Linked DNA regions of Tribolium castaneum. The main gene of each other region encodes a partner of the protein of the gene in region 7 in a complex. Links are inferred from orthologs where the notes say so. Each region holds a gene or a part of one and is shown on either strand. Other genes may lie near its edges.

Region 1 (2,709 bases), on a different chromosome or scaffold from region 7:
AGTTTGCGACAACATATTTCCATTTTCAACGGTGTAGGTACAATGTGTTTTTAAATGATTCTTGGTGTACGTGTAATAGAAAATTTTATTCTCCATAAATTTCTTCGTAGGATTTTTCTTGTGTTCTTGATTTGTCCATTTGTTTTTAAATTAATTTAAAACGACTTGGCGCCGAGACAGTATAATGCTCAAAGCGCCCTCATTTTTACATTTTGGGTACGATTTTGTATCTCGTTTCGTTTCCTAAGCGACAGTCTTCCATAACCCGAAAAAATGATTTTTACAGCCGAATTGCTACGCCAAAGTCATCACAATCGAGTCGCAAAAGAAAATAGTGATCTACTCGAAACAGAGCATAGGTGTGAACGAGGAAATTACTTACGATTACAAATTCCCGATCGAGGACGAGAAAATCCCGTGTCTGTGTGGCGCGGCCACGTGTCGAGGAACACTTAATTAAAGGGAAACAAGACAGACTTTAAACCGAGTTAGTTACTATATAAAATTTAAATTATCTTTTTTATTTGTATATATGTTTCTGTAAATAGTACATGGTTATTTGTGTTTGTTTTTCATCACAACCGCAAATAAAATTCATTAACAGCTCACTTAACTATCCTTACTCCCCGCTTTTGTCAAATGCTGCATGTCCAGCTGTGATTGGGCGATGTCGCTCAACGCCGCCTGGATTTGCTCCAAGAGATCCTGACCTTTACGAACTATAGCCTCGAGACGCTCAGCAGACTCTTGATTGTCTGATTCCAAAATTCGCAAGCTTTGCAACTGAAACAGTGTTTAGTCCGCGGTCGGACCAAGTCATTGTAGATAGGTACCTGTAATTCGGTTGAATTTTCCTCGCTCGGGAGCGATTCAATCAAAGTATCTATGTCTTTGGCACAGCGCGCAATCAACGTTGTGAATAACTGGACGTAGTCTTCTTGGTTCTGTTGCTGGGGGGTTTGGGAGCCACTCCTGTCGAAGTTTGGGAATTTGCTAGGAGGGGCGAACTGTTGCAAAATCCCAATGCTGTTGCAGAAATGCTCGGCTTGCTGCGACAACACGAATGCAATTAGTGGTACAGTCTTAGGGGGAATTACCTGATTTATGCAATCCTGGAGCTGGGTCAAACGATCGGCCATTGAGGTTATGTTACCCAATCACCGACAAGTGATAAGACCCGAAATCACATAAAAACCAACACTGATGATAATTTGTTATCTCCCGAGGTTTAATATGCGACAAAATATATTAATTCGTACGAAATAACTAGAATAATACTAGAAGGTGAATGACATCTTGCAAAAACAAACACACATGATTGCCAACCCAAATCTGGTTGGGTAAAGTCTGCGTAAATTAATCCCACCGGGCCGAAGTTACATTTTAGTTATCACGCCTGATTTCAAATATAGTAGAACGGTTTTATTTACAAATTAATTGGTTTTATTTAATCAAATAATAACGCAAAACCGGGGAGTAATAGCCAACCCACGAGTTGAAAGTCCCCAAGTCAGTTTTTGACAGATGTCAAATTATTATTATTATTAATGAAAAATAGCAATTACAGGCCTGTTCAGCGCTTTAGAAATGTCCGGGGCCAAGCCGTGGGAGCGACCATGGTCCATGGACGAAATAATCCAAAATTCGGACAATTGGAATTTAGCCGGAGATGTGGCCCTTTTGAACACTCTCAAGGCTTTTGCAGACGTATTTCGCATTTTTGGCCCACATTGAACCGTTTCAGCGTTCAATTTTTAGAATCTCCTGACTCGAACAACCGAAATCAACAATAACTTGCAAAATTTGACAAGCTCCCTGTCTGAGACAAGTCTCCAGTTGAATATAGCCCAAAACGAGTTTCAAAGTTTGCGAAACAGCCAGTTTATTGAAAGTCGGGTTTATGAGGACGATGAGACTTTGGAGGAGCCGGTTGAGGCGAAAGCCGAGGAGAAAGAGGTTGATAAGACTGAGGAAATCAGGTTGGCGGCTTTGAAGGGTTTGGAGGTCTTGGAGACGTATTTTGAGAAGGTTGAGGTGTCGGTCAGTGACAGTGAAGACGACGATATCGACTTGCCCAAGTAATTTTTTTCTAAATAATTTACAAAAACTAGTTTGTCTTTTCCAGTTTTGTCCTCAGACCCAAAGACTTGTACCTGGAGCGCCCCCTTCCGTACGTAATCGGCTCAGAAGAGTGGCAAAAGACGTGGCACGTGGGCCTGGAGGACTCGTCCAGCGATAGCGAAACTGAGAAAGTCTCAGATAATTTCAGTGAAAGCGACTCAGAATCAGAGTTGCCAATTATTCCCGACAGAACACAGGTACTTTACACATGTTTTTCCACTGGTTGAGTTGCACTTGATCCATTCATTATCATAATTTTATTGGTCTATTAACCGGCCAACCGAATTTTTTGTTTAGTCGCGATCCAGTCGCCATGGGCAATATCTGGTTCTTTTTCCAGATCAAGGGCACCTCTGATACCAGTTCTGAGGACTTGCGAACTGAACCGAAAAATTTCGTCAATTCGAGTGATAGTGAAAACTCAGTTCCGGTGCAACCAACTACCAACTTTGCCGAAGAGTTGGCGGCGAAATTGGGGAACGTGATTGATCAAGAGTACGTCAATCGACGGCCAATCCAGAAAACGCCACAATACGGTAATTGTTTTTGGAAGCGGACCGCAGACTAAACGCTAATTCCAGATAACCT
Region 2 (2,676 bases), on a different chromosome or scaffold from region 7:
ATATTTTTTTACCTGAGAAAATTAATCGCATTCGTTTCTTTTTGCCGCAAAATCAAACCTTTGGTATTTTTCTTGCGTATTTTCGCATCACTAGCACACAAAATTATCACAATAACGACAAAAATTATTTTGAAAAAATTCATTTTAATTGTTGGACGCATCGAAACGAAATGATTGATTTGATTGTTAATAGAACCATGTCAACAATTATTAATAAACAAATCGTGTAAGCCAAGTACACTTTTGGTGTATGAAAGTCGAGCGGATTTCGTGTACAGTTAAGTCCAATTGGGTCGAGAAACGGAACTTGTATTTGAATTTGGCGGGGCGGGTTCAGGGACTTTTGGTTTTGAGGTTTGTTACAAATTTTGCATTTTTTACGATTTTTAAGGAAAAACAAGGAACTTACCTTAATTACAGCGACAGCCAATCAATTGTGATTTGGATGGAAATGGGTGGGATTTTGGTGCAATTGGTGGGATCTTGGTGATTTATGTAACTAAACAAAAAAATAATTTATTTCACTTAACCACCAAAAAATCACATTTGTACCCTACCTAGCTGATTTTATTGCTCAAATGTCCGTTACTTTGGCTATTCTGGTTAATACTTTGTTCACCTGTCCCGTTAACATTCGAAGGGGTTAACAAACGACTCCTCCGCCTGGTGTAGTGTTGCCACAATAAAAGTTGTTGATCGTCGATAAATTTCGAACACTGAGCATTCACCAATTCCCTCCGGAAGTGTTCATATTGCAACAAATCCAAAAAATACAAACACATTGGATATTTCAAATATTTGGCGTATTCGGGCTCCTTCCAATAAAGCAAATACTTCAAATAGTTAACAAACGTACTATCCTTAAAATAACCACGCTGTGCGAGAACTAAAACGCAAAAAATTGTATTTTTTCCCTCCCGAAAAAGTGAGGTTACGTCATTACAGTTGAGATAATTAGGATTTCCGAGACACTGCACAAACTCTAGCTCAATCTGGAAGCGGAGTCTTTGCTGATCGTCGGTTTCCGGAGCCCCTGACATATAATTCCAGCCTAAAACTTGTTTATTACCTAAATTTAATTAAAGGACGCTTACCTTTCCCAGCCATGTTTGTTGTGCATAAAATGGCGCGTGATTCGAATTCGAATTTTTTTAATTAATCAATTAGGATAAATGCAAGTTCGTGTTGTAAGAGCGTGCACTTAAAATGTCACAAGTAACAACAATAGAAAAGCGACCATTAGAGGCTTGGCAAATTCCCTTGTTCTTCTATTGAAAGTATTATTCTTGCGTAATTCAATTCTCAATAATAAGAAATCGGATCGAAACGGTACATGTTGTAAGAAGCGTGTGGAAAAATCAATCGCTGGTGAAAGTAGCCCAGTTATTTAATTGAGCGGGAAATTGACCACCAATAAGAAAATAACTGACTAACATAATGATCCCCAACACGAGGAATTTTCATGGAAATTCCCATGGTGGTGGTATATGGTAATGGTATTTGTATGAAAACAGGTGGATGGGTTGCGGCTTTGTCTACAAAACATTGCTGCTTTGTGTGTGAACAATTTTATTGTTTTGTTGCTGCCTTTCAGTAAGTCGAGATTTTTTCTTTTCACTTTTGCGGGATCAATAAAAAATTTAAAGTGAGGACTTTAATCGCGTTTTTTTTGGCTCATTTATTGTAATTTTGAATTATCTTATCATTAATTATTTCATTAATTAATTTAACAATTTTCTAATTATTTAATCAGCTATTTAACGCCTGATTAGCGTTTTTAGTCTCAAATATGTTTAAAAATCATAATTTCTTTTTAATTTACTGTAATTACGGTTTAATTATTATCAGTTATTATTACTATTAAATCCTTTTTAAGTAAAGAATTAATTAAAAAAATGCTTTTCGATTTTTACAATTTTTAATTAAATTAAAGTTTCTTGGTAATCATAATTAAAATAAAAAACAAAGTCACCCTTTTATATGATTTTGCTTCATTTTTCGATCATTTGTTTTATAAAAAATTTGATGCAATAATTAATTCACTGTTTAATTTAGTAAATATCAGTAATTTATCATTGCTAATTTTAATGGAAACACATTACTTATTATTTTATTAATGTATTAATGAGAATTGACGAAATTCATAAAAAGTTCACTGCATTATTTTGAAATTTTTTTCTATTTGTTAAAGCAATTGTGCAAAAACTCGTGTATTGTTACGCGGCTACTTATCACAAGTGCTGTGTCCACAATCAAATATTTGCCGAAATCGTGTTTGACATTTCCTTGTACGCCACTGTCCTATTACCTAACTTTTTCACCAGTGGCGTGCACGTTACACAACACGCAAATAAATCAATTCTTAATCGTTTTTGAGGTTTCTCAACAATGAGCAATAAATCAGCGGTTGCGGAATTCTACAAAAACCGACACATCCTCATCACGGGCGCCACTGGTTTTATGGGGAAAGTACTAATCGAGAAATTACTACGCTCATGTCCTCAATTATCAACAATTTATTTGTTAGTTCGTCCAAAAAAAGGGAAAAAACCTAACGAAAGACTTGAAGATATCATCAATTGTCCTGTACGTATGTCTATCACTTGTCAAAATTTAAATCACACGCCTTTTTGGCTAGGTCTTCGATAAGTTGCGTGACCAACCCGACGGCGAAAA
Region 3 (2,589 bases), on a different chromosome or scaffold from region 7:
CCGGCCACAAGTGGGCAAAAAAGACATGTGCCTATCACGTTCGATAATGGCTCTACAGGGACTAAACAGACCCGACCGGCTCGTTCGGGCGACAACGTTAAATTGTATACACCACCTAGTGGAAAGTTTAGTAATAACTTCCAATACGGTAAATTTTATGGGAAAAATGTCTATTTGTTTTAATGATTGGTTTCAGATCGTGGGGGTTCACGAGGTAACAGGTCGAGAGGCCGTGGCTCCCGAGGAAGGGGCAGAAATTGGAGAAATTAATTTCAATCACCCTTCTAACAGTATTGCAGAAATGCAATTCAAATCATTATGTTCAATGCTTATTAGTAAGTTATCAAAACAATACACAACCCGCTTGTGTTGTAAATACCCTAGATCTTATTTTTTTTAATTAGTTCAAGTTAAAACGTGTGCTGGTTTTAATAGTTTGTGTAAAACCTCTAGAAATTTAACAGAATATGTTTTCTATTGTCTTAGAGTTCAATAAAACATTTGGAAAACTAACTTTATTGCATATCATCCACAATCTTGCACATAATCCTATCCAAAATAAAGCACGGGTCTGATTTGTTGTCCTCCTTTGAAGCCTTCTCTTGGTTTACTAAAAGTTCGGTTTCTACGAGCAACTTTGAGTCAACTTCCATGGGTTCAGGCAGGTTTTGAATCGCTTGTTGCAAAATTTCCATAACTTTGTCTAAATGCTTCTGGAACCTATTGGCGGTCTCAATCCTTTGTCGCCTTTGCAACTCCATCATGACCCTAAGCGTCTCCCTAGCCTGATGTGGCCGGAATTCGTTCAACAAGTGGTGAATGTGAATAAATAACAGACTTAAATCTTCGACTTTCTCAGCCCGCTTTGGCGAGTCGGGACAATTCACAAGTAGGTCTAGCAAGTCCAAGAAATTGGCCAACAATGACTGATTTAATTTTTTCAACTCCCTTCGTCTATCAAAGTGGAGTGGATACAAACGTTTGATTCCCTAATAAAATTATTAGTTTTAACCACGGGACGTATTTAGGGACTTACTTGACTCTCCAAAGGCCTGATTATGCTCTCTTCGGTATTGAAGGCATTGCCGAACATATGATACGTGTCTTGAATCGGAGGCGGCGGCCTGGGGGTTCGCCCCCGCCGGATCATCTCGTCCGTGTAGTGGTTGATGTACTGCATGGGGGGCAGTGGCAGGGAACTCACCTGGATCGCTTCCGACGATGCCATTATTTATTTTAATACAATAATTAAGAAAAATACAGTTGTTGACAAACGACAAATGTCAAAATTACATAAAAACCATCACAAAAACCTAAAATTACTAGTTTATTGGCAAGCCTGTTCCTTTTTCAGTTTGACAGCTGTGGTAATACCGCGTCAAGTAAGCTATTTTTTAAAATTCGTATTTATCTTAATCATCTTTGTAATAAATTTGACGAAAATCAATCACAGATCATTCTTTTTTCCTTTATCGTGAATCTTAGCCCTTTTTGTGGAGTTTAATTCACGTTAGGGTTTGACATGTTTTATAACCTCAACCACGGTTGATTTTAGGATGTTGATGCCCAAAAAGAACCGGATCGCGATCTATGAATACCTCTTCAAGGAGGGCGTCATGGTGGCTAAGAAAGACACCCATGCCCCTAAACACCCCGAATTGGAAAGTATTCCCAACTTGCAGGTGATCAAAGCTTTGCAGTCTTTGAAATCGAAGGGATACGTTAAGGAACAATTCGCCTGGCGGCACTATTACTGGTATTTGACAAATAACGGTATTGAGTACCTGAGGACCATTTTGCATTTGCCGCCTGAAATTGTGCCCTCAACGCTCAAGCGACAAGCTAGGACCGAAACAACGCGTGCTCGTCCCACGCCATTCAAATCAGAAACTTCCAGTAAGCCTGCCGAAGACCGTGCCGGATACAGGCGGACTCCCGGGGGGCCTGGATCTGATAAGAAGGCTGATGTGGGGGCTGGCACCGCTGATTTGGAATTTGTAAGTTATGGTAGGGGTTTTTGACGATTTTTACCACGGTTTGTTACAGAGAGGAGGCTTTGGGAGAGGAAAAGCGCCCCAATAAATTAAGTTTTTTATTACAATAAGGCATGATCAGCAAATAAAACCTTGTCGATCGTTAATTGTTTTATTAATTCCCTTTACTCCTGTATAGAGGACGCCATTATAGACGTCATTGTGACACTTGTCAAAATTGTTTACAATAATACATGTGATTAATTCGTGTAATAATGGGACAACAGAGTTCCCAATTTCACGAGTATTTTAACGATATAATCACGGATGAGCCCGTGCTTACTTTACTCTCTGAAGAAATTCATACTCTTAGTTACGAGAAATTTTTGACAATACTTGGGGAACTCAACCAACTGTAATAACAGTTCCTGTGTGGTTGTTATTCATTGTACTATTTTAGCTCCAAACAGCGTTTAGATTCCGAGGGGAAACAGTTAGTGTTTGCTGTAAAGAAAGGGACAGATTCTACAGTTTTCTGGAAAGCTACGGTGCAAATAGCTTGTGTTAAAATTGACTCTAATACTCAAAAAGTGAGTACGTACCGACTGTTAAACCT
Region 4 (4,106 bases), on a different chromosome or scaffold from region 7:
CTTAATTAATTTCTGGAAATGTTTATTGAAGAAGAATATAAATTTTGTTATAAAATTCAATAAAACTATTCGTAAAACTAAAAGGATGAATTTTTATAACTCATTAAACTAATGTATTTACGTGATTTCTGGCAATTTTGAGTTATTTAGTTTATGCTTGTATTACAAAGCAACTTGTTAAAAAAAATAACTACTACAATTTTTTTTCTTTTAATTTTATTACACTAAATCTGCCACTAGCTGTTTCAAAACTATAAAAACAACAACGACGCACTTTACCAAATATTTTTTAAATAAGGTTGATAAAATTGTAAAATAGTTATTAATGATTAGATATCTCATTGAAAGTATAAATTACATTAGTTATTATTTTCTTCAACTGCATGAATAATTTATAACAGCACACATCACAGCAAATTTTGTGAGAAAATGTGACGTTGACGTTTTTATAGTTTTGAAACAGCAAATACAATGGTATAAAGGGGACCAAGGTTCTTCTTTAATATCAGACGATACCTAAGGTGACGGGGGCTATTATTAATTTATTACAGAAATAAAATGTAAAACACCCTTCGTGTAAATTATTTTTTGTTGCATTTGGTTTTTGAAAGCTTTTCATTTTATCTGAATCACATGGAGTAAAATAAAGTAGTCAATCTTGCTTGATTTCTTCTAAAACTCCCTCATATCATGTTTTAACGGTTTGGAAACATTTTTTGTAAAAAACATCTATCTAAGAAATTTTGAAATACAGTAAACTAAGCAATTTTATGTGATTTTTGTTGAATGCCTACAAAATAATAAAAAAAAACATTATGTGGTATAAACTAACGCACAACGTATTTGATTTCTTTATAAAAAAAAAAACGAGAATAAACTATTCAAAATTTTGGAAATGTGCCTATGGTGTACTATTATCTTAGTTGTGATGTGTTAGCGGGCATTTGCTCCAGTTCTGGGGGAAGATGAGGAGATTATCGTGTCAGCAACTTCTTGCGATCTAAAAAGTTGAAAAGTTGTAGCGAATTACGGCTTTAATTGTCATTGACGGATCTAATACGAAATTCGTTGGTAAAAAACGCGGATTAATTCCGGGAGTTTGTTTTACGACCACATTTCATTAAAATATTTGCGTTGCAATAAGCACAACATATGTGCCACCAATTCAAAGCACTCCAAAGTATCAAATCTTGATAAAGTTGAGAGTTGGTAAACACAAATGAATGGAAAAGCACTTGAATATTTTTATTGTTATTGTTATTATCAGACACGAGTTTGAATTGGGCGCCGGTGGCGTAGCCAAATATCCCTAAATTGGGGAAAGTAACGAAACTGTCAAGTTTTTGTTTGGTGCTGATGTATGTTCGAAAAATCGGTTTTTTTCCCTTAATTCGCCCCAAATAGAAAATGTTTACGAACATTTAACGTTAATTTCGCCCGAACTCATCATGAATCGCGTAACAAACGGTGGGTTGCGCGCCCCAGCCAAGAGTTTGACTTTTGACATTTACAACTTTGTTTACTTTTAAGGCAATTTAGCGATGCCACCGTCCGTTGTGGACAAATCCAAAGACTGGCAGTTGGAGATATTGATGGAGAAGCTGCGCTCGAAGGCGTCGCAGTACAAAAGCTTGACAGAGATATCCAAAAATGTGCGAATGGCCATGCTTGTAGGTTATGTCATGTCTGGCACTGCCTCCATTGATGCCCTACTTTCAGGACAAGCGCTACGCGTTGGACAGCGTCGAGAAGAGCCAGCACCAGAAATGCCTCGACACTCTGCAGCACTCCATCAAAGTGACGTCCTTGCAGAGCATGATCGAGCGGCTGGAGAGCTTGACGCGGCAGCTGGGGCTCAAGTTCATGGTGGGCCCCTCGGGGGTGGAGCTCTTCATCTCCTCCGACATGTTCTACCTGGAGATAGTGCTCGACCAGACGGGGGCCGTCAAAGACGTGAAAGTGCACCATGACAGTAAATTGGAGCAACAGAGTTGCGCTGAGCTCGTCAATTGTTTATCTAGTGGCGATTTTGCCGATTTCACTGCCCAGTTGGAAGGTTTTGCCTCGATTTACCAGCTCAATGCTGAGAAAAAGGTCAAGTGTAAGGCGTTCACAGCCTTGCAGTCGCTGGAGTCTGATTTGAGCACCTTGGCTCACTTGCAGTCTTTCATGAAGGAACCTTTCAACCTGCTGTATAAGTCTCCGGTTGGGGTGCTGGAGAAGCGCCGAGGGGGACACCCCATGAAACTCACCTATTTTGTCTCTCCTTATGATTTATTAAATGTTGAGAAATGTGATATTGAACCTATTACTGTTGATACGATCGTTAGTAAAGCGCTGGGGTACAGTGTGACGGTGTGTATGGAAGGGTCCGCTACACATAAGTTGCAAACGACCACTCTCATCACAGTTAATAGGAATATTAACGGGAAAAGGTAAAAATTATTAAAAAAAATTTTTTTTTCTTTGAGGGAAATTTATTTTAGTACGCCGTCTTTTTCATCGCTAAGTAGCCAAAATAGTGCAGCAATTCCGGCCTGTTTTGTCCTCAAATTAAACAAACCAATGCCAATGTGTGTCAATTTAGTTAGACAAATTCAACAAGTTACTGAATTGGATACTATAGAACAATCAGCAACTCATCCGTTACTTAGTTTAATAGTACATCACGCCAGTGAAGGGAAAATGGAGTCTGGGAACAATAAGGGCCTTTTTGTGGTAAGTGGTTGGCAATAATATTTATAAAAAAATGGTCATGTTGACTACTGATTCTCCTAGTTTGCGGTACAAACTTTTCGAGAGCCAAAAAATGGTAAATAATCAAAAATAATCTACTTAATGAAGTTCCTCTGACATTAAAAAATTCTAAAATCAGCAATTTTAAACATAAATACAAAATGTTTCTTACAAAATGATTTTTCTTATGTGTTTTTTTGCTCTATAATTTTGTTAAATAGAATTAGATATTTTATTATTATTATATTTTTTATTTTTTTCTTCAATCAAATTGTTTATTTTTTTGTTATTTCTCATTTATTGTCTGGGTCAAAACCTTGATCAGCTTTGCTGTCTTTTGGTCCACTTTGTGGTAGGAACAACTCGTAGAAAATTTTAATTTTGTTATCGTATTTTTTTTCTTGTTGTAATTAATTATATTGTAACTGTTTTACTGCCACAAATAAATTATTATTATTATATTATTATTAAAAAAACAATTAATTTCACGTCAAAAAATAGTTAATTAACCACCTCAATTCTTGATATATAAGCAGCCATTTCATTTTAACGGACGGGACACTATAGATTTTTTACCAATTTTTATCACCAGTATCAGTAGAAGTGAATTTTTCTTTATAGGAACTTAGTACCAGTCAAACAATTTGCAACCTACAATAGTCGGAGCCACATTTGTAAAATTTGAAATATGAGCAGGAAAAAGAATACAAATTGGTGACGGACGGGACACAAAAAAGACCTTACATTTTTATCGCTAAACAATCTTTATAAAATTCTGTTAATTTAAAAGGCACTAATTCTAAGAATTACTTTATAAATAAATGGTAGATTTTGTTGAAACTTTTGAAACCACGATTAATTTACTTTTTGTTTACACATGGCGGATGGGACAAAAAAATCTTGTGTATGAAAATAACTCTAAAAAAATTATTTAGGCAGGTTTTAATTATTAAAGATTTTAACAATATCAAAATTAGACTGGAAATTAGAAACTTATGTCCTGTAATTGTTTTTTTTAATTAATAATTTGAATATTTAATAATATATAAATTAATGCTTAGTCAAGGCATCCCTAATAATTTCTTCGAACCTTCTCCCAAATACAACGCATTCTTTTTCTGGAGTTTGAGGGGGTTTCAAATTTGAAAAAAATCTCAAAAAATTCACACGTTATTCACAACCTATCCTCAGCCTCTCTACTAAAATTTAATTAATTTTAAAAATCTTAAAAATAAATTAGTTTTAGATTCACAAGTTTTAATAATAACACTAAATCTAAATGTGAAAAAAATATGATTTTTTTGTTTTTATTTTTTTTTATCAAATCTTTTCTTTTAAGATTAAGGACCAGTTTCGCATTATAATCCCTT
Region 5 (3,834 bases), on a different chromosome or scaffold from region 7:
CCGAAAATGACAAAATTTACACTTTTATGAATTTTGTCTCCATCTCTGCCCTTTCAGAGCGTTATGATAGGATATTTAGGGTCGAAATCTCTACCTTTATTATGTGCTATTGCCAGATAAGGACAAAAGTTCAGAAAGTAGGGTTAGGGTGTATTATGATCTCTTCTGAAGTGTTAAATTTTAACTTTAATGTTTTTTGTGTGCTTTCCTGCTCTTCTAGAGCGCTATTAATTATTATTGAACATGTTTAAGGACAGACAAATCTACCTTGAGTCAACGACATAAATTTCAGTGAGATTTATTGAAAAATGCACTTCTCGTGTCAACCTTTTCATGAAAAAGGGTGTTTAAACGTTTATAAAGGGTATGTTAACGTGTGTTGTTAACTTTACCACGTAATAAAACATAAAGTATAACTTGGTAATTTTTTACTTTAACTACTTCTGGATTTTCAAGCTGAAACTTACACCAAACGATTCCTCTGAGTGCCCTGATGACCGTACACTATGAATTTTCTTGTGCAAATTGAAAATAACATTAGAAAAATAATTTTTATTTTCACTCACTTTTTACTTGAATCGCCATTTTTGTTGATTTTAATTTGAGTTTATTTTTTATAATATCACGTTAATTTTTATTATTATAGTGGATCAAAATGTCGTCTTTAGGTTAGACTATTGCCTACTATCGGTTAGGAACAACATGATCTCCAAAAATATAACGTAGTAATGAGCTCCAGAAGGTTTACGTAGATAGGTGCGTTTTTCCCAAAAGTGAGTTTTTTGAGATCGAACCGCAAGTGAGTCACACTGCGAGGAGACTCCCATAGACAGAAGTTGCAAACATAAGGTGCCAGACCGGTGCCAGTTTGGCTGATTGCAAGTATGTCTTTATCATCGATTCGGTGACGACTATTAGTTTCGTAAACTTAATGGATTTAATAAATATCTTTAACATTAAATGTGATCGTGTCATGTTGGGTAAAATTCTTCCATCTGTGCTGTCTGTGCATCCACCTTTTCAAATACAATTAAGAAATTTTCATAATAATTGTATTTGATAAGGTATTGGCATCATTTTGACGTGAGCAAAAATTAAAAAAATATAAAGTAATCGGAATTATTTTAAATTCGCGCCATTTTTAGTACGTGATGATGCGGCTAGATGGCTTCAGCTAGGAATTCATTGCCAACCATTATGTTCCGCTTCTATTAAAGTGTTATTCTAGGGCCACAGCCATTGCCGTCTCGAACTCCAGGCCGTCAGGTTACTAGCTTTTGTTTATTGTGACGTCATCGTAAGAGTCGTGACATTTGTTCGCATCGTTTGAATATATTGTACTTTTTGGTGTTTTTGAGAGTGTTATTAAGTAATTTGTTGTTGTTTACGAATTTGTTGTTTTGTGGTTGCGTTGTAGGGAATGAATTTTGTGTGTTTATAGTCTTGTGTGACGTGATTTTGACAATTATAGGTTAGGATAGTTTTGCATTATTTTTGTTTATAAATTTGGTTTTATTGTTTTTAATCGTTTAATTTGGTAATAAATAAGCAGATAAGGCATATTTCAGTCTCTAAACCTAACATACTTAATCCTATTGCATTCCTAATTTTAGAAAATGCCGAATAAGTGTTGTGTTCCCAATTGTGTGTCTAACATGAATGGTCCTTATGTACCTATGTTTTCCTTTCCCAAACAAGAATCCCTGCGATCATTATGGTCAAGAAAGATACCCCGAACTAATTGGACTGTTACCAAGAACAGTCGTGTTTATGTGAAATATTTTCGGGATGATTTTATAATAAAATATCACGAAGTGACTAGAGATGACGTAAAATTCTTCGTCATATTCTTATACTTTCGATCACACTTTTACGACTAATTTAAAACATATTTAGCGAATAATAACATGTTGCATTCCATAAGAACCTGTGTTAAAACTTGGATAAAACGGTCGTCTTTAAGTCGCGGTTATTCAAAATTTAGGCCCATAAGGAGAATTTTTGTATTAATAGACGTAACTTTAGACGTTTAAGTACGGCTAGATGGTTTAAACTATCAAAAAATATAAACTTTAATATATGTTTTTCGGGTAATAACAAACGGATAAGGTACTTTAAATCACAACGTATGTCACTATAAAAATTATAGTTGACCGTTCGTTGACCACATTTGCAGTATCAGGATTCTTTAGATACACTTTTCCGTCGTTTCTTGCATAAAACGTTGGACGCAACATAGTTAAAATTAATTTTTTGCAAAAATTCAGAAAGTTAGGTTATGATCATTTAGACTCTTACTGTGACGTCACAATGTCAACATGCAGGCCTGGAGTTCGAGACGGCAATGCCACAGCCGACATACCGTCATCGTGGTTAAGGTTATGTTTTTGTAAACAGCGCCAAAAATACAGCAAAATGCAACAACGGGAAGAAAAACAACTCGAATCGTCTCTCGATTCCATAATCCAGCGTGTCAACGACCTAAAATCATCGATAGCTTCAATGATTTACAAGGTGGAGAATGAATATGAGACCCTCAACTGGCCCACATTTTTGGACAATTACGCCCTTATGTCCGGCCAACTCACCTCCCTTTCGAAGGTTTTAAGCCACGACAAATGCCCCACCCTCAGAAATCTCACAGTACTGCCCCTCATGTTGTCCCCCGAGCGGGACGAACAATTGGCCCAAATGACCGAACACAGAGTCACAACCTTCGCCCATGATTTAGTCCCAGATTATCTTCGAACCAAACTAGAACCGTTGGCGGAGAATAAAATGATGCAATTGGAACACAAGGCGTCAACTTTATCGTATGAGAACGCACAGGTATGTTAAAATTTTTGGTAGAGTATGTTTCAACGCAAACTTTCAGAAACAAATTGCTGCGTATCAAAAGGTTGTGTCCCACGTTTGGGAACTGGTGAGTAAAGCGAGGGAGGAGTGGGAAGTTGAGTCTTCCGCCAGGGGAAGTACGCAGCAGAATTCCAGTGTGGCTGATACTCACTCGCTTGTGGCGGCTGTTGGAATGGGGAAGGGACTCAAGATGGGGGCGAACCCTAACGGTCAGCCCAATCCCACGTCGGGAGGGATGATGGTGCCTCCGCAGGGGCGCCCAGGGGGCACTCCCGGGCAAGGACAGATGCCCCCCAGCACGCAAACCATGACGATGAATAAGGCGCCCTCTGCTATTAAGACTAACATCAAAAGTGCCACCCAAATACATCCATATGGACGCTAGTGAAATAGTTTTTAATGTGTACGGAGATATATTTATTTATTAAGATATAATCTTACAAAAATAACTAAATATAACAGTGGAAACAAAGATTAACACTTTGTAGCGTAATGAGTAGATTATAAAAAGCATTAATTTTATAGACTTTGAAACTATACTATCAACAAATGGTTGAAGTGTGGCTGGTCGGAACGGGTGGCTTTTCCAATAAGTACAGCGGAACTTGAACATTTTCACGATGTATGTTAGCACATGCTACGCATTATATAAAATATAAAACATATAACATTTAGAATACTTGGGACCCAGTCAAACAAAAATTAACAACTTAAAAAAATATTTTCTACAACGTAACGCGGGTGACTGGACCCTGTTTACGTATAATACGCATTTAAAAAAATATAACAAACAACAAATAAAATACTCTTGTGCATAAATTGCAACTATTCTATGGTCATATATTTTCCTTACATGGCAAGAGAATTTTCCTAAGTTTTTGTTCCCTATATACAAAGTGGTACAATAAAAGAATTCAACTCTTTATACTCTCTAATTTGTTAATATACTTTTGTTTCTTAAAATACTGACCAACAATT
Region 6 (4,297 bases), on a different chromosome or scaffold from region 7:
CGGGGGCAAACTTCTCGGGGTATTTCCGGTGAAACTCCAAGTGTTTCTCGTGCCAGTTGGTCTGGTTCCAATGATCGGGCGAGTTGTCTTTGACGAAATCCTGCACCCGATTCCTAAACTCTGTAGCTTTAAGCAACACCAACTGGATGATGAACGAACAGACTTGAGCCTCGCTCCCTTCCTGCGTCCGCAGCGCCAAACACAAGACCAACCGATCGATTGTCACAATATTGTACTTCCAGATCATGTCATTGATCGTATCCACGCATTTGTTAACATGTTGCCCCCCAGGACTGTTACTAAACTCGAACACGAGACAATCACAAAACTTCCTCAAGTGGGCCGAAAGCGCCCTTGCCCCAATCCTCTCCAGGATTTTGTAGGCAATTGGCGTGATGTGATCAGTCTCGAGGAGCATTTTCCACAACAAACAGAGGAAAAGTGGGGGCGCTCCCGCAACCCCAAAATGCGCCATCATGTCATTTTCGTTGTTCATGGACGACCACTTCCGGTACTCCTCCTCCACTGCTTTCTTCAATTGTTGTTTGTTTTCTTTAGGGACGGCATGTTGCGTGAAAAACTCGGCCAGAGCCCTGGGGAAGCATTCGAGGGTGTGGGGGGCCCACGCATGGGGGGTACTTTGTGCAATGGTCGCCAGCAACTCGTGACACCACGAGCCGTCGGCCCCCGTCACGTGCGTGGCCCTAGCTAGGGTCAAAACCAGCGCCCGATTCAACTCTTCCGATTCCGCCGAAATTAACGTCTTGGGTTCGGCTAAAAAGCGGCTCAGTTCGGGCTGAACTTCGCCACTGCCCAGCCCCGTGATTAGACGCAAAGCGGTCGATTCGACACATAAGTGCAGTTGGGTTTGGTTGGCTTGCGGCACCGCTGCCAACGAATGCAAGTGGCTGAGTAACTGGACACGGTAGTGGGGGTGGATGTGGTGCATCCGATAACTAAACATCTCCAGAAGTGTGTAAAGGGTGCCCCAAGCGTGTGACTTGTATACGGTTGGCAACAACTGGCTTATGAACCCTTTGATGCCCAACGATTCGATCTCGGTGTACACCAACAGGCGACTGTACGTTTCCACCAAAGCTGGTGATAGTGGCATTCCTAACTTGGCCTGTGCTAGTTTAATCACGTGTGTGACAATACTATGGATTAAGCTCATTTTCGAATGCACAGTTAATGAGTCCAAGACGGCCATGCTTAAAGGCGCGGTAGGTGGGGCTGTTGATTTGGGGCTCCCTTGGATCGTCTCAACTAGCGCTGCCATTGGCTTACTGTAATAATCGGGGTTCGTTGAGTAGGCGTTGCACAACAAGGCGATTCTGTAGTCATTTCCCATCGCTAACACGGTGTTATTAGGGGGCACCAACTGTTGGAGGAAATCATGATGGTTGCGTAGTTTGGCGGGAATTGGCCAAGTCAAGTTGGTCATTTCGGCTTGCGCTTTCTTAGTCAAGTGGATCCAAATGCACGTCATTGCCATCTGTCTCGTACACTGGGGCTGGTTGAAGTCCGGAACGGGCAAAGGGGGCTCCTGTTCCGGAAACAACAGTTCGTAAAGCCGCAAAACTGGGAGGAAATTCGAGAGGGGGTTCTTCTGAATCGAACCGGAAATAAACTGCAAGAGGACCCACATGAGTTGGTCGCGCCCTCTCCGCAAGTCGCGCCCTTGCAGTCTCGAATGCAACGATATAACAATGTTTGGGAAACTCGCAAATTGGAAAAGAACAAAATAAATTAACTGGGACGACAAGTGCAGCCATAACCCTTGAGTGGCGCTCTCATCGCCCTCATTTTCCGTGCGTTCCAGCGCCAAAATCACCAACTCGACCAGTTGTTCCTCAAGGGCGGCACAGTGTCTCTTGTGCTGTTTCTGCAACCCTAACATGCCACACACCATGTCGCGACTGTACGGCTGTTCCAGAACGTATCGTAATAAACCGGTTTGCTTCTCTAGTAATTCGGGAGCGTACGGTAAAGTGCCCTTAAGCGAGAATCGCAACGTGCACGGGTCAAGTTTCCAGGGATTGACCAAGTGTTCGGGACAGCCGCTGTGCTCCACAACTGGCCGCATTTCCGCCTGGCCTACGATAGCCACCATTTGGGCACAGGCCCGAAAACTGCCAACGTAATCGGAGAAGAGGGCAGCAAGGCGCCAGTGGGGGCAGTCAGGGTAGGCCTTCTGGAGCTCGTTCACTAGGAGATAGCCAGGCAGGAGGCACGCGTTCCTGTCCATGATTCGTTCAGCGACGCTTAAAAGAGCCTGGGTTTGGGGCTGCAAGCCCGCGTTCAAGCGCCAGGGGAGACTTTTCGCCTTCTCGCAACATCCCTACAATCAACAATCAAACAATTACCACAACAATTCCCCACTTACTTTCATAATTTCGCGAACGCCCTTGTATTCAACCAAATCTATAATTTTCCGCACGAGTTTAAAGCACTCGATCCAGAACCGCGCATTGGTGTGTTGTAGTTTATCGAAATTCATCACCACCTCACACACGATACGGGCCCCAATGGTACCGTTGCGCACGACACTTTCCAGGAGCTCCATCAAGAGCTGGAGCTTGCTTTGGGAACATAGTACAGCAGTGTTGAGGTACTGGCGAAGGGCGGTGTCTAGCTGCTCCTGGGGGATGCTCCGCAGGGCTGTGTTCAACTCTTGTTGCCATACAGCCACCTTTTCCTTTTCGGCACTGGGGCGGTGCACTAGAAAGCAACTAAAGGCTTCTTCGATGCCTTCAACTTTGAGAATGTCGGTTAGGACGTTTGTTAGTGGCTCGCCCATCGTGTCCACGGTTATTTTTCAGGCGAAAACATTATTTTGTGGTTATTTGAATGGGATAATAACGGTAGGTTATGTTTGGCCGACTACATGTTTAGGCAACACATTATACAAGCGCCTAACACTGCAGAACCGTATTCGATTATTTTGACTTGCTGGGTGAATCCTCAGAGATAATAAATAATTGCGTGCGTTGTAAGATGTTATCAACTCTCAAACAACGTCAATCTAAATTATTCCATACCTAGCCACATTGTAATAAAATTCATATCAGCCCGAATCTATTCGTTTATTTGCATATCCACTTCATACGTGAAAATTTGTTTGCTTATCTTTTAATAAAGGCAATATTATTACCGCACGTCTCGTTCATTATGCGCTTAAAGAGTTCTTTTTGTCTCACATTTCGATATGAACTCACAGTTCATAGAACAGGTGAGGTGTCACTCATTTAAATCGTTTTAATTTATTTGTTTCTTCTCCCTAGGTGCAAATTTTAATGCACGCTCAACAAATTAAATGTGCGGAAAGTATTTTTGGGAAATCAAACTACATGTGGCTTTGCAGCAAAAGAACTCCCGTTATTTGGATGTCGACGAAAGATGAATTCTTAATTCGACAAGCCCTAACAAAGGTACAATTTAATTGTTGCAATTAAACGTGCAATTATCCTTCTTTAGGTCACTCCTGACCAACAGGTGAAAGTTATGAAACAATTATTGACTTGGCTGGATAATAATCCCGAAGTCCACTCTTTGAAAATCCCTGAAATGTCGCTAAAGCTCCTCAACAACATGGCTAATGCCAATGCCATGAATGAAAGGACTTTTTCAAGAATGAATAGTTTCAGAAACAGTCTGAGACGCTTGTCCTTAATTACGAACCGAATCGCTCCCGCAAACACACCCAGAAGATCCGTAACTTTCAACGACGTTCCCATAATTTACCGCATAAAATACTGACAAAAAAGTAACGAAACCTTTACAATATCTATGTAAAATTTGTGCCGAAATAAATGCACCTTAAAATTTTTGTTTTTTGAAAAATCTGAGTTAAAAATCAGGGTAAAAAGTCAAATTCAACGTTGTTTTTGATGTTTGAAAAAAATGCATAGAAGATAGGAAAATGACCAAGAAAACTAGGCATATACTTGATTATCATAAATTATTGCAAATTGAATGAACCCATTGGAAATTTCTAGCACTCCCTCCCTTGTTTGAAATTCTCCACGCGTCCGTGGCGCATGCGCATTTTCATCTTACGTGTCAAATAAACGTCAAAAAAGCGCCTCCCTTGCCCCTCTCCGCACTTTTCGGGCCAGTGTCGAGGCACGGACGTGTCAAAAACGCGTGTGTATGTTTTTCTGTTGAATTATTTCCACTTTTCCGTATTTTTTTCCTGTGAACGATGGCTCCCAAACAGCGGATGCGTTTCGCCAACGAAAAGGCCAGCAAGAACGTGGTCTTGCGAGGGAATGTGCCCAAATCGTCGGTGAGTACG
Region 7 (2,659 bases):
CGAAATTTGAATACACGAGGTGATTTCGTACAGGGATGAGCGAGATTTTTTAAAAATCGGGATACTTACGATCGCCCATCTTCTACCGTTGGGATAATCGAACAAACAGGAGGAAAATGGATGCGAGGGAAAAGACGCTACGGATTGGGGGCTTGTGATTGGTCGGCGCTAACAGCCCTGCCAACCCCACCAAAAAAACACACTAAATAAAGCACGCCAAAATATTAAATTTTCCACAAACAACCTTGTTTTATATTCTCAGTTCCACTTGAATACCGTCGAGGTACTTAAAAACAACATTTGTGATGGATATAAATTGTAATAATAAGTTTGTATGAAACACAGCTGGAGAACTTGTTGTGGCAGCACTGAAAACCTTATCAGAGTTCAGGGTCGGCCTAAGGGCATTTGTAGGCCCTCAAATTTATTATTTTTTGATAATCATGAATTTAATTAATCTAGTGGTGCTAGCTTTGCTAAAACGACCAGTAAAAACTTAATAAAAATAACAGTCTGTTTATTTTCAAAAATAATAAACAATAAATAATAATAGATCTTAAACCTAGGGTAAGTTGGAATTATTCACAATCCAAAGATCTTCACGAATTTGAGTGTTGGCTGGGCGTTAGGCCCCCACTGTGTTCAGGACTGTGTTTCTGCTTTTTTCTCTTCTTTTCCTTTTTCCTCTTCTTCCGTTCTTTATCTTCGTCGTGTCGTTTCTGTTTTTTATGCTTCTTCTCGTGTGTATCACTTCCAGCATCGGTAATGGTAGTCTCCTGACTTGGAAGCCCCCCATCTTTGTGTTTGTGTTTTTTGTGTTTATTTTTATGCTTTTTCATAGGCGCCGCATTTGCGTAGCGGTATTGTTCAGGGAGCTAAAATCCAATACTCAACAAAACACATTAAAGGGAAATTATCAAGCTTACCGCCCCAGGGTGTAGTCTAAACCCATCCAGTTGGATGCTAGTCAATGGTAACAACTCCTTGCCCCCAATTGGAGGCTTCTCAATCACTGATCTTAGCGAACTGTTATCATGCTGTCCAGGAGAGTCAATAACGCCAGGCAAAGTTGGCAAAAACGAAGATAACTGTTCCTTGAGTTTTTTCCCACTGAATTTGCTGTAAGAGTGCTCAAGGCCATAATAGGCCATCAAATTCGTCGCTCCTGTTAGTTCCGACTCTCCTACAACCACCGTCCGCGTGATTTAAACGACTTCAAGCCTTGTCTTGCTTACCTGGAGGCTCTTTCATCAAATAGAAAGGTCCACTAGGGACAATTGAAGGGTTCTTTCCTAACAAAATTGTCGTTTTTAATGTTCCTGACGAATCCTGACGTGAAACGACAGGGGAACGAGCCCCTCTAGGCGAAGATTTGGGCGAATATTGTTCCACTTTACGAAACTGATCGCCCATCATCTTACAACTTCATCGTTTTGCAACAACGATGCAGCTGGAAATGGGAAATGTCACTTCAGCATCACGTACCAACACAAAATCGTCAAACAAACAAACAAATCAATTGTTACCCTGGTAATTTTCACGGTCTGGCGTTTGGAACCCTGCTAGTTTGGTAACTTTAGGTTTAGTTTGGTTGGCGAGATTGTGCAATTGTTACTGTTGCTAAGATACCGCGTCGAAGCCGCCGCCCCCAAAACATTGCTGGTTTTCTCAGTGAAAACATGCGTCTTTTGTGAAAAAAGTGGTTTGAGTTAACGAAAATGGGTTGTTGCGAGTCGAAAAAGGAGCCCGAGCGGGAAGAACCCGCTCAGAGAGGGTGCACCGACGTGTTTTGGTTGTGTTTGTACATTGCGTTTTGGTTACTAATGGTAAATAACCTTGATTGGTGTGTAATTTGCCTCATTAATATTTTTAGGTTTTAATTGCGGCGTTCTCCTTTGTCTACGGCAATCCCATCAGAATTATAAACGGCTATGACTCATTTGGGAACATTTGCGGGACAAAAAATAACAGAAAAATGTCCAATTTGGAAGTATCAGGACTGGACACTTCAGACAAACAATTTTTGCTCTTCTACGATATTAAAGAGCTGAAACAGTCGCTGAAGATATGCGTAAAACAGTGTCCCACGGAGACGTTAAAAAAAGTTGAAGATATCCAGAAATATTACCAAAAAACTGGCGTCAGTTTGTGTAGATATGATTTTAATTATGACGATTTTAAGAACAAGAGTATTGCGAATAAGGAGATTCTGAGTAGCTATTTAGGGCCGTGTCCGGCACTTCCTATTTACGAAAGGTATTTCCCCTAAACTTGTGTTCTATAAAGATAAAACTGGTTTTCTAAAGCACCCCAGTTCTCAACCGTTGCGTTCCTAAATCATTCCAAGATGCAGGCGAAGCAATTTTGAGCAATTTTTACGAAGCTTTGAACAGTTGGGACACACTTGAGCAAATTTTGGGCGACATATACAGCACCTGGAAGGAAATCCTTTATTTAACGTTTTTATCACTATGTGAGCCTTTGGATAGTCACAGGAAAATTTGTACAGTTTGATTTTCAGTTTTTTCGCTGTTAACTATCTCAATACTGCATCTACTGGCCCATTTAGTGTCGTACATAATCATGATTTTGTTCACAATTGCGAGCATCTTGGGCACAGCGTTTTTGTGGTACACTTATTTTGATATTAAGTATGATT

The links.
Region 1: MED19 (region 7) and MED21 share a complex: the UniProt entries of both Drosophila melanogaster proteins name them as parts of the mediator complex. The link is inferred for Tribolium castaneum from reciprocal best matches to the Drosophila melanogaster genes MED19 and MED21.
Region 2: MED19 (region 7) and MED31 share a complex: the UniProt entries of both Drosophila melanogaster proteins name them as parts of the mediator complex. The link is inferred for Tribolium castaneum from reciprocal best matches to the Drosophila melanogaster genes MED19 and MED31.
Region 3: MED19 (region 7) and MED7 share a complex: the UniProt entries of both Drosophila melanogaster proteins name them as parts of the mediator complex. The link is inferred for Tribolium castaneum from reciprocal best matches to the Drosophila melanogaster genes MED19 and MED7.
Region 4: MED19 (region 7) and MED1 share a complex: the UniProt entries of both Drosophila melanogaster proteins name them as parts of the mediator complex. The link is inferred for Tribolium castaneum from reciprocal best matches to the Drosophila melanogaster genes MED19 and MED1.
Region 5: MED19 (region 7) and MED8 share a complex: the UniProt entries of both Drosophila melanogaster proteins name them as parts of the mediator complex. The link is inferred for Tribolium castaneum from reciprocal best matches to the Drosophila melanogaster genes MED19 and MED8.
Region 6: MED19 (region 7) and MED23 share a complex: the UniProt entries of both Drosophila melanogaster proteins name them as parts of the mediator complex. The link is inferred for Tribolium castaneum from reciprocal best matches to the Drosophila melanogaster genes MED19 and MED23.

Annotation. Positions count from the first base shown.
Region 1 is NC_087401.1:8,393,464-8,396,172, reverse strand, and holds MED21 (mediator of RNA polymerase II transcription subunit 21), read right to left. Parts: upstream 1,328-2,709; 5' UTR 1,140-1,327; coding exon 1,098-1,139; intron 1,050-1,097; coding exon 834-1,049; intron 784-833; coding exon 610-783; 3' UTR 501-609; downstream 1-500. Other genes in the region: Set1 (histone-lysine N-methyltransferase SETD1B), read left to right, coding at 287-460; FAM21 (WASH complex subunit 2A), read left to right, coding at 1,588-1,707, 1,759-2,078, 2,126-2,318, 2,462-2,657, 2,703-2,709. UniProt on the Drosophila melanogaster protein: Component of the Mediator complex, a coactivator involved in the regulated transcription of nearly all RNA polymerase II-dependent genes.
Region 2 is NC_087401.1:17,495,447-17,498,122, reverse strand, and holds MED31 (mediator of RNA polymerase II transcription subunit 31), read right to left. Parts: upstream 1,547-2,676; 5' UTR 1,108-1,546; coding exon 1,095-1,107; intron 1,052-1,094; coding exon 944-1,051; intron 887-943; coding exon 558-886; 3' UTR 501-557; downstream 1-500. Other genes in the region: uncharacterized protein LOC656943, read left to right, coding at 2,378-2,586, 2,639-2,676. UniProt on the Drosophila melanogaster protein: Component of the Mediator complex, a coactivator involved in the regulated transcription of nearly all RNA polymerase II-dependent genes.
Region 3 is NC_087402.1:3,009,666-3,012,254, forward strand, and holds MED7 (mediator of RNA polymerase II transcription subunit 7), read right to left. Parts: upstream 1,229-2,589; coding exon 1,037-1,228; intron 990-1,036; coding exon 516-989; 3' UTR 501-515; downstream 1-500. Other genes in the region: cass (apoptosis inhibitor 5), read left to right, coding at 1-148, 197-270; small ribosomal subunit protein eS10, read left to right, coding at 1,557-1,997, 2,047-2,082; RING finger protein 141, read left to right, coding at 2,249-2,388, 2,434-2,589. UniProt on the Drosophila melanogaster protein: Component of the Mediator complex, a coactivator involved in the regulated transcription of nearly all RNA polymerase II-dependent genes.
Region 4 is NC_087399.1:8,918,250-8,922,355, reverse strand, and holds the start of MED1 (mediator of RNA polymerase II transcription subunit 1), read left to right. Parts: upstream 1-1,306; 5' UTR 1,307-1,448; coding exon 1,449-1,467; intron 1,468-1,530; coding exon 1,531-1,670; intron 1,671-1,719; coding exon 1,720-2,435; intron 2,436-2,486; coding exon 2,487-2,718; intron 2,719-4,106. UniProt on the Drosophila melanogaster protein: Component of the Mediator complex, a coactivator involved in the regulated transcription of nearly all RNA polymerase II-dependent genes.
Region 5 is NC_087396.1:15,801,447-15,805,280, reverse strand, and holds MED8 (mediator of RNA polymerase II transcription subunit 8), read left to right. Parts: upstream 1-1,226; 5' UTR 1,227-2,310; coding exon 2,311-2,829; intron 2,830-2,875; coding exon 2,876-3,241; 3' UTR 3,242-3,334; downstream 3,335-3,834. UniProt on the Drosophila melanogaster protein: Component of the Mediator complex, a coactivator involved in the regulated transcription of nearly all RNA polymerase II-dependent genes.
Region 6 is NC_087394.1:35,203,805-35,208,101, forward strand, and holds the start of MED23 (mediator of RNA polymerase II transcription subunit 23), read right to left. Parts: upstream 2,801-4,297; coding exon 2,387-2,800; exon of another isoform or gene 2,342-2,386; coding exon 1-2,341. Other genes in the region: stress-associated endoplasmic reticulum protein 2, read left to right, coding at 4,205-4,288. UniProt on the Drosophila melanogaster protein: Component of the Mediator complex, a coactivator involved in the regulated transcription of nearly all RNA polymerase II-dependent genes.
Region 7 is NC_087395.1:19,591,557-19,594,215, forward strand, and holds MED19 (mediator of RNA polymerase II transcription subunit 19), read right to left. Parts: upstream 1,490-2,659; 5' UTR 1,417-1,489; coding exon 1,236-1,416; intron 1,184-1,235; coding exon 927-1,183; intron 876-926; coding exon 600-875; 3' UTR 501-599; downstream 1-500. Other genes in the region: RNA-binding protein cabeza, read right to left, coding at 70-79; Ctl1 (choline transporter-like 1), read left to right, coding at 1,719-1,826, 1,874-2,256, 2,307-2,473, 2,522-2,659. UniProt on the Drosophila melanogaster protein: Component of the Mediator complex, a coactivator involved in the regulated transcription of nearly all RNA polymerase II-dependent genes.